Bombyx mori: one gene and its partner. The protein of the gene in region 1 binds, or shares a complex with, the protein of each later gene. Links are inferred from orthologs where the notes say so. Each region holds a gene or a part of one and is shown on either strand. Other genes may lie near its edges.

The links.
Region 2: the proteins of apoptosis-inducing factor 1, mitochondrial (region 1) and mitochondrial intermembrane space import and assembly protein 40 are in contact, whole or in part, in a cryo-EM structure (PDB 9GQZ), measured with the Homo sapiens proteins. The link is inferred for Bombyx mori from reciprocal best matches to the Homo sapiens genes AIFM1 and CHCHD4. Residues at the interface, in NP_004199.1 of Homo sapiens: Pro345, Tyr347, Ser500, Ser501, Leu502, Pro503, Thr504, Val505, Gly506, Val507, Phe508, Ala509, Lys510, Glu558, Asp559, Tyr560, Asn602, Ala605, Lys606, Phe608, Asn609, Ile610, His611; in NP_001091972.1 of Homo sapiens: Arg5, Glu7, Lys9, Asp10, Arg11, Ile12, Ile13, Phe14, Val15, Thr16, Lys17, His20, Thr22, Pro23.

The regions. Positions count from the first base shown.
Region 1 is NC_085120.1:1,544,059-1,547,381, reverse strand, and holds the end of apoptosis-inducing factor 1, mitochondrial, read left to right. Parts: intron 1-1,084; coding exon 1,085-1,294; intron 1,295-1,759; coding exon 1,760-2,026; intron 2,027-2,417; coding exon 2,418-2,489; 3' UTR 2,490-2,555; downstream 2,556-3,323. UniProt on the Homo sapiens protein: Functions both as NADH oxidoreductase and as regulator of apoptosis.
Region 2 is NC_085131.1:14,550,747-14,555,161, forward strand, and holds the start of mitochondrial intermembrane space import and assembly protein 40, read left to right. Parts: upstream 1-1,312; 5' UTR 1,313-1,509; exon of another isoform or gene 1,510-1,758; intron 1,759-2,350; exon of another isoform or gene 2,351-2,398; intron 2,399-2,538; exon of another isoform or gene 2,539-2,548; 5' UTR 2,549-2,783; intron 2,784-3,871; 5' UTR 3,872-3,878; coding exon 3,879-4,111; intron 4,112-4,415.

The DNA of each region.
Region 1 (3,323 bases):
TTTCCTTTTTTAAAAACAGCTCCTGGATCAACAGGAGCACGGCGCCCGGGACTCAAGTGAGCTGTCTGCAGGCCCCAACATAATGGCTCGGCCCACATATGTACATGTCTCGTCCAGACCTATATAGGCCATTTTTTTTTTTATTGCTTAGATGGGTGGACGAGCTTACAGCCCACCTGGTGTTAAGCGGTTATTGGAGCCCATAGACATCTACGACGTAAATGCGCCACCCACCTTGAGATATAAGTTCTAAGGTCTCAGTATAGTTACAACGGCTGTCCTACCCTTCAAACCGAAACGCATTACTGCTTCACGGCAGAAATAGGCAGGGCGGTGGTACCTACCCGTGCGGACTCACAAGAGGTCCTACCACCAGTAAATAACTATCACAATTTTTTTCTTATTGTGGTAATATTCTTACGACTCATTTAGTGTTTAGTGGTTACTAGAGCATATAGATATAAAAAGAAATATTGTTCTCCGATGAGTCACTTAGTCGCTTTTCACGCCCTCCACAGGAATAAGTGGTGAGGTGATGTTTGAAGTCGGACACCGCACAGCTAATTCCTACTAACTGCTGCTTTTATTTACTGACCCTTGCTTACCATGAGTAGTGCACCCCGTGCGTGGTGACCTTGTCTGTGGTCTGAGCTCGATTATCTGTTGGACCTTACTGCAAGCCGCCCGCCACTGGCTCCGTTTGTGACTAAAATCTTAGCTTCAATCTAATTGAATATGCAATTTTGAAAAGGGCACATGTCGTATATTTTGTCAAATATGTTTTTTTATATACATGTAGTTTTGAGGCTTACCTACCTAGATCCATTTTATAATAATTCCAATAATTATCAATTGCTAATTATCACTAAAATATATCTCAAAAGCTAATATTTTAAATTTTACACTGCTTTAGAAAATAATCAGTTTTTTTCTTTTATGAACATTTTACATCTTCAGAGATGTGCCCTTTTCGAAATTGCATATTCAATTAGTGTGAAATATTTGATTTATTTTTTAAAGTAATAGAGCTCCAGTGTGAATAGTGTAGGACAGTCGTGTTATTGTACTGGGCTGGTGTGTGCAGGCCCGGCCGCGCGTGTGGGCGGCGGGATCTGCCGCGTGCCACTGGGCGCCGCGGGAGGGGCGGCGGCGGGGCGGGCTGCACGACCACGCCGTGACGTCAGGGCGCCGCGCCGGGGACAACATGCTGGCCGACATGCTGGGCACCGCGCCCGCGCCCTACACGCACCCGCACATGTTCTGGACCGACCTCGGGCCCGACCTCGGATACGAGGCGAGTGTACAATCTTGTGACATCTATGAGTACCCGTAGTCACTTAGTGCCAAGTGATTTTAGATCTTATATCTATATATATAAAAATGAATTGCTGTTCGTTAGTCTCGCTAAAACTCGAGAACGGCTGGACCGATTTGGTTAATTTTGGTCTTGAATTATTCGTGGAAGTCCAGAGAAGGTTTAAAAGGTAGATAAATTAATGAAAATGCTCGGAATAAAAATAAAAATAACAATTTTGTTTTTTCTTTTATTTATCGATTGAGGCACTACGAAGTGCACCGGGTCAGCTAGTAAATAAATAAAATTACTTAAGTAAGCTTGTCTTGAAAGTTGGTTAGCGCTAATCAGATATTTGTCACTCCGGTCACACTGACCGCACCGGGGCGCGGGTGACCGTACCACACGTTGTAAGTAACTACATTTTATGAATGGATGTTTTATGAATTATGTTTAAATATTCAGGCCATCGGCACCATCGACTCAAAACTAAAGACCGTCGGAGTGTTCTCTGAGGACGCCGTCACGGAGCTCCGGGCCCACGCCGCCGCCGCCGGGGAGGGGGACGCGGGGGGGCCGGGGGAGGGCGCGGCCGGGGCGGCGGTGAGGCTGGAGGGGGGCGCGGCGGGGGGCCGGCGGTACGAGCGCGGCGTGGTGTTCTACCTGGAGGGCCGGCGCGTGGTGGGCGTGCTGCTGTGGAACCTCTTCAACCGGATGCACGTGGCCAGGCAGGTGAGTCCCAAGGGATCCAACACTACACACTGCTGACGATGGTTTTTTGAATGCCTAAGTGGGTGGACGAGCTCACGGCCCACCGTTAAGTGGTTACTGGAGCCCATAGACATCTACAACGTAAATACTACCTTGAGACATGAGTTCTAAGGTAGATTTTAACACTATAGCGGCTGCCCCGCTCTTCAAACCGAAACGCATTACTGCTTCACGGCAGAAATAGGCAGGGCGGTGGTACCTACCCGCGCGGACTCACAAGAGGTCCCACCACCAGTAATTACGCAAATTATACTTTTGCGGGTTTGATTGTAGTATCTTATCTTTAACTTGTGACCGCTCGCGAGTCTGCAGCTGCTAGCTAACCCACTGCCCCCCAACCCCCCGCCCCCAGGTGCTGGCGCAGGCGGAGTTCGAGGACCTGTTCGAGGTGGCCAAGCTGTTCGCGCTCCACGAAGACGAATAGGCGCTGCATTTAGTTCTTGTTGTATATATTTATGTTAAAATAGATTATTAAAGATACCGATGAAGTTTCGACTGTTTTATTTTATCTTACTAGTGGAGTGAGGCGTGCGAGCGCTGCCGTCTTGTCTATTGTGTATATGGAAAACGAGCTCACGGCTCGTCTGGTGCTAGGCGGTCACCCCGTAGACGCCACAACGTAGCGACCCACTTTGACACATGACGTATTGTCACTTGTCAAAATGCCGAATCACTCTGTTTCTTTGTTACCACCTTATCCCACTAGGTTTTCTATTCCATTCTCTTCTATCAGCAATCCCAACACTCACTCCTCTCTGTCTCATATCCATGTGTTTTTCGGTCGACCTCTTCCCCCTCTACCTTGCACTACCATTTCCATACCTCTCCTAGTCACATGCATCGTCTCTCTACGCATCGCATGTCTGCTCTTTAATTTATCAATCACTTCAGCTACTTTCACACTTCCTCTGATATATATAAAATGCCGAATTACAACAAAATAAATATATTTATAAAAAATGTTAGTATCTATATTTCGTCAGTGGTCATCGGACGTTTTCAAGTCGTTGGTCGAACACTTAACTGGATAGTTAGCCAATTATTATTGTTCTTGTCCAATTCAAATACCGTTTCTCACTTATCTTTAAAAACATTACAATAGATTGGGAGGAATCGGGACGCTTTTCAATACCAACACAAAGGGGATGGCCCATTTTAGGCCCAAAGCGGACAATAGATTATAGAAAAAATACTTAGTGCATTAATTTTGTCATAAATAAATATGCATTTACTTTCTTGCAAATAAGCGCCACTACAG
Region 2 (4,415 bases), on another chromosome or scaffold:
AAAAAGTGGGTTCTTCACGTATCTTGTAAAAGATGTAGAAGAAATCTAAGCTCCTGGGCTTCAGGTGGAAACAGGTCTTCGAATTTTAATATGGCAATGAAATGGAGGAAATTAACTATCCAATCCACTGGTTTATGATCCAATCCGAAAATGACAGCTACTTCTGTTTTACAAACACATTTGGTTTTAATCACAACAACAAAGCTAAAATTATAAATACGAATATTTCCTTCGGTTACTAAGCCATATTTTTATCGCTGGGTAATCCGTTTGCGAATTCCCGGTTGAAGGGGGTAACAGACCGGGTTATGTCGCACTCCGGCGTCTCCAAATAAGAAGAGTTAAAAGAGGAAAGCTGAAGTCCTCCTCCTCCTCCAATTCCTCTCAGGAGACTAAGCCTTGAAAAAAGCTATGACTACCGACTAAATCCCATCGAGCTACACCACACCAGCTAGAAGAAGCATAGTGCGCGGCGAAAGTCCGCCTTCGCCGGTATCCGACAGCCCCTATCCTGATGATAGGACGGGATTTCAACCCCGGGAAAATCCTGAAGGACGTCGGATCTCAGGAGACACATCGTGGGCAGTGCACAAGAGCCACCTTGCACTGCCTCACCACCGGACTAACCGTTGAGTACCGCCGGACACCTCCGCACCCGGCACTCGACAGCCCCTACGGGGCCGAGCAGGGGCCTCGCGCCCGCGTTTCCCTCCCCGCTTATACGCTGAGGAGCCGTAGAGGGACCCTTTCGCGCTCCTCCGCCTCATGGAACGCTATGACCAGGTAGGAAAACCTGGCCATGGCCTCCCACGAACTCTGTTCCTCTAACATCTGAGGAATTGTTTGAGATAATACCATCATCTCGTTTTTACCATCGGACCGCCCGCCACCGGAGTAGAGTTCATCCATACTACCTGGAGCCACTGCGTTCATCCACAGTGCACTTCCAGAGATCTTTTTTGCCACGTACCATCCGGCTTTGGAATGAGGTCCGCTCCACGGTGTTTCCCGAGCGCTATGACACATCCTTCTTCACACAAGGCTTGTGGAGAGTATTTAACGGTAGACAGCGAGTTGGCTCTGCTCCTGGCATTGCTAAAGTCCATGGGCGACGGTAACCACTTACCATCAGGTGGGCCGTATGCTCGTCTGCCTATAAGGGTAATAAAAAAAAACCTCGATATCTGATTTCTAAGTCCCAGTTTTACAGAACGGCTGCCCCATCCTTTAAGCCCAAACGTATTATTAGTACGGTGTAGTGTGCAACTCGCCTAACCTTATATTTGTAACTGCACACACTAAATTGTGACAGAATTACATGAATTGTCGACTTGAACAGTTCTATTTTATTTCACCTACAACACTCCAATACAACGGTAACGGCAGTAATGTACCTAGATACTACCTAGTGGTACCTAAGTACCTATCTGTGTGGATTCACAAGACGCCCTATCACCAGCAAAAATGTTAGCACAACAACAGTTCTTTTTAGTCCTTATCATAGACAATGTGAGTAAATTCTTTGTCGAACTTATTAAAAAAAAGGCTAATAACCTATAAAAATAAATAATGTCAACTGTCACTTCAACGTTCAGATATAAATCAACATTTTAGAAATGAAATAGGGATACATAACATTGTGATCAGTTTTATTTCAATAAAAAAATTCAGGGCGTCTCTGAATTTAGTGTAAAGCGAATGTTGCCTCAATTCTTTTACCTCCAAGTTGAGTAAGTGGCAATCACGATTTATCCATCAGTTAGTACACAACTAAAGAATCAGAATCTTGAATAAAAAAATTATAGTTTAAAAAACCTAACAAAATACGCTTTTAAAGAAAATCCAACAAAAAAATAGAAAATAAATTTTAATAAATTTTAATTTAAAATAGTGTAAGAAAAAATGATATTATTGTAAAAAAAAAAAGCGTGGGTTGCTTTTCAGGATATTATCAAAATAACCCTTCTACTCATATATGTTCATAAAATATTTATAACTACTGATACCATGCACCCCACAATTTTTTTACACTATTTCAAATTCAAATTTATTTAAATTTATTTTCTATTTTTTAGTTGGATTTTCTATAAAAGCATATTTTGTTAGTTTTTTTAAACTATTATTTATTGTTCATTTTTTAGTTAAATTTGATTTTTTTCAATATTTTTTTAATATTGAATTGTCATCAGTCCTTAATAAGTATACCAAAATTTGAGTTAATCTGTCTTAATTAATGTTAATCTTTCTGTTCTGTCTCCCCAGTATTACTTTAAGTACAATGCCGATTAAAGTACATCTACTGCACTGCTCAACACTACATCAATTTTAATGATATTTGCTGTATTTATAGGTTTGCCATTGACCAAGGTGGCTTAACACGAGACTGTATTGAACAAATGTTAATTTGTTGCAATAGTAGTTTTTTGAATTTTTGTATATCAAATTTTGATATGAGGGGTAAATTGTATAAGTTAGCAACACTATAAAATAAAATATATCTGTTAGTTATTTAGACTAGTCAACTAGAAATAATTTTAGTTACTTGTAGGTGTAACAGTGCACAGAGTGAATTATCACTACGGCGTTTGGTAGAAGAAGCGTGCAAGACATTGTTTGGTGAAGTGGGGGGCTCGATACCTGTGGATGTGCTATCAGTGCAAGACAAGACAGCTGTATTGCGAGTAAATAGCACGGAGTTCAGGAAAGTCTGGGCTGCTCTTACAGTAACTACCCAGTTACGAGTGCATAAGGTGTCTCCTTCACTACAGGCACTTGTATAGGCAGTGAGTGTCACAGTTAAATACATAATCTTACATAAGTCACAATCTTGATTTCATATTGTAGGGATTTAACAAATTATTTATTTGCTAGAATTTAGGATGATATTTAAAAAGCATACTTTATGCCCTTAAATTCATTCTTCATATTCAAGATATGAAAATATTTTTATATATTACATGCTCATTGAGTGCCTTGTATTGTTCAACACCCAAAGAAATGAATAAACTTTGAACTACACTCAAATTATCACTTGTGCCAAATGTGCATCCTTGTTACCTGGCTGCTTAACAACGATAGTGTTTTTTCAAGAAAAAAACTGACAGCATAAAACTGCCAAACAGAGAGGTAATAATGGGTATAGATAAACATTGAATAATAATAGAAGCACAGCGAAACTTCAAAGCTTTCAAAGTTTCAAAGAAAAGAAACTATGGAACTTGGAAAATAGGAAAAGAAATTAAACAAGCAATAATCAAATGACATCAGAAAAACAATAGAAAGTCTCTGGCAGTTTTTTTTATTGCTTAGATGGGTGGACGAGCTCACAGCCCACCTGGCGTTAAGTGGTTACTGGAGCCCATAGACATCTACAACGTAAATGCGCCACCCATCTTGAGATATAAGTTCTAAGGTCTCAAGTATAGTTACAACGGCTGCCCTACCCTTCAAGCCGAAACGCATTACTGCTTCACGGCAGAAATAGGCAGGGTGGTGGTACCTACCGGCGCAGACTCACAAGCGGTCCTATCACCAGTAATTACGCAAATTATAATGTTGCAGGTTTGATTTTTATTACACGATGTTATTCCTTCACCCTGGAAGCCAGTCATGAACATTTGTATAAAGCCTGTGTCATTTCATAGAAAGGCAAATAAACTCACAGTCAACCTGGTTTGAACACATCTTTAGGGATGAGGTGTAAATCTCAATTTTAGGGTATAATGGCTGTTCCACCCTTTAAACTAGAATGCTCCTTTTGTGGCACAATTAAGTAGCAAATTGTATATCAGGCAGTACAAATGTATTTAAAGTGGATGCAATATGCTGTAATAAGTATCATAATAACCTGTGTATTGATTTTTTTTTTAAGATACAACATGTCGTCTCCATCAATTCTACCTGCTGGGTCAGGCAACAAAGATATAGTGATTGTAGCATCACGCGAAGAGTTGTCTACACCAAGTAGAGTATCACTCCCGGACCCTGAACCGACACCTGGCCTCATTCTGGCAGATGGTTCCATCAATTGGGGATGTCCATGTCTTGGGGGTATGGCCACTGGTCCTTGTGGGATACAGTTCCGTGAGGCATTTTCCTGCTTTCATTACAGGTTCGTATTTCAATTCTTTGATCAATATATTTCAGCTCACTATCTTTTCCAACAATTCAAAAGACAACTACCATACATCCTTTGAAAGAATGCATGTCTGTATTTTCCAAATGATGACATCTTTTGTTTACTGTAGAACATACGAACTGTAATAATGAGGGTTGCTCAGTCCAGCAACTGGAACCCCGAGCTCGCTAGTATCACTTGCACTCAGGCCCTGTTGCTGAAGTGTTCTGAATCCAGTGGCTCTCGCAACTATTACATAAACTTTACAAGAAACGTGAACTGTCGTTTGTCTGAGCAT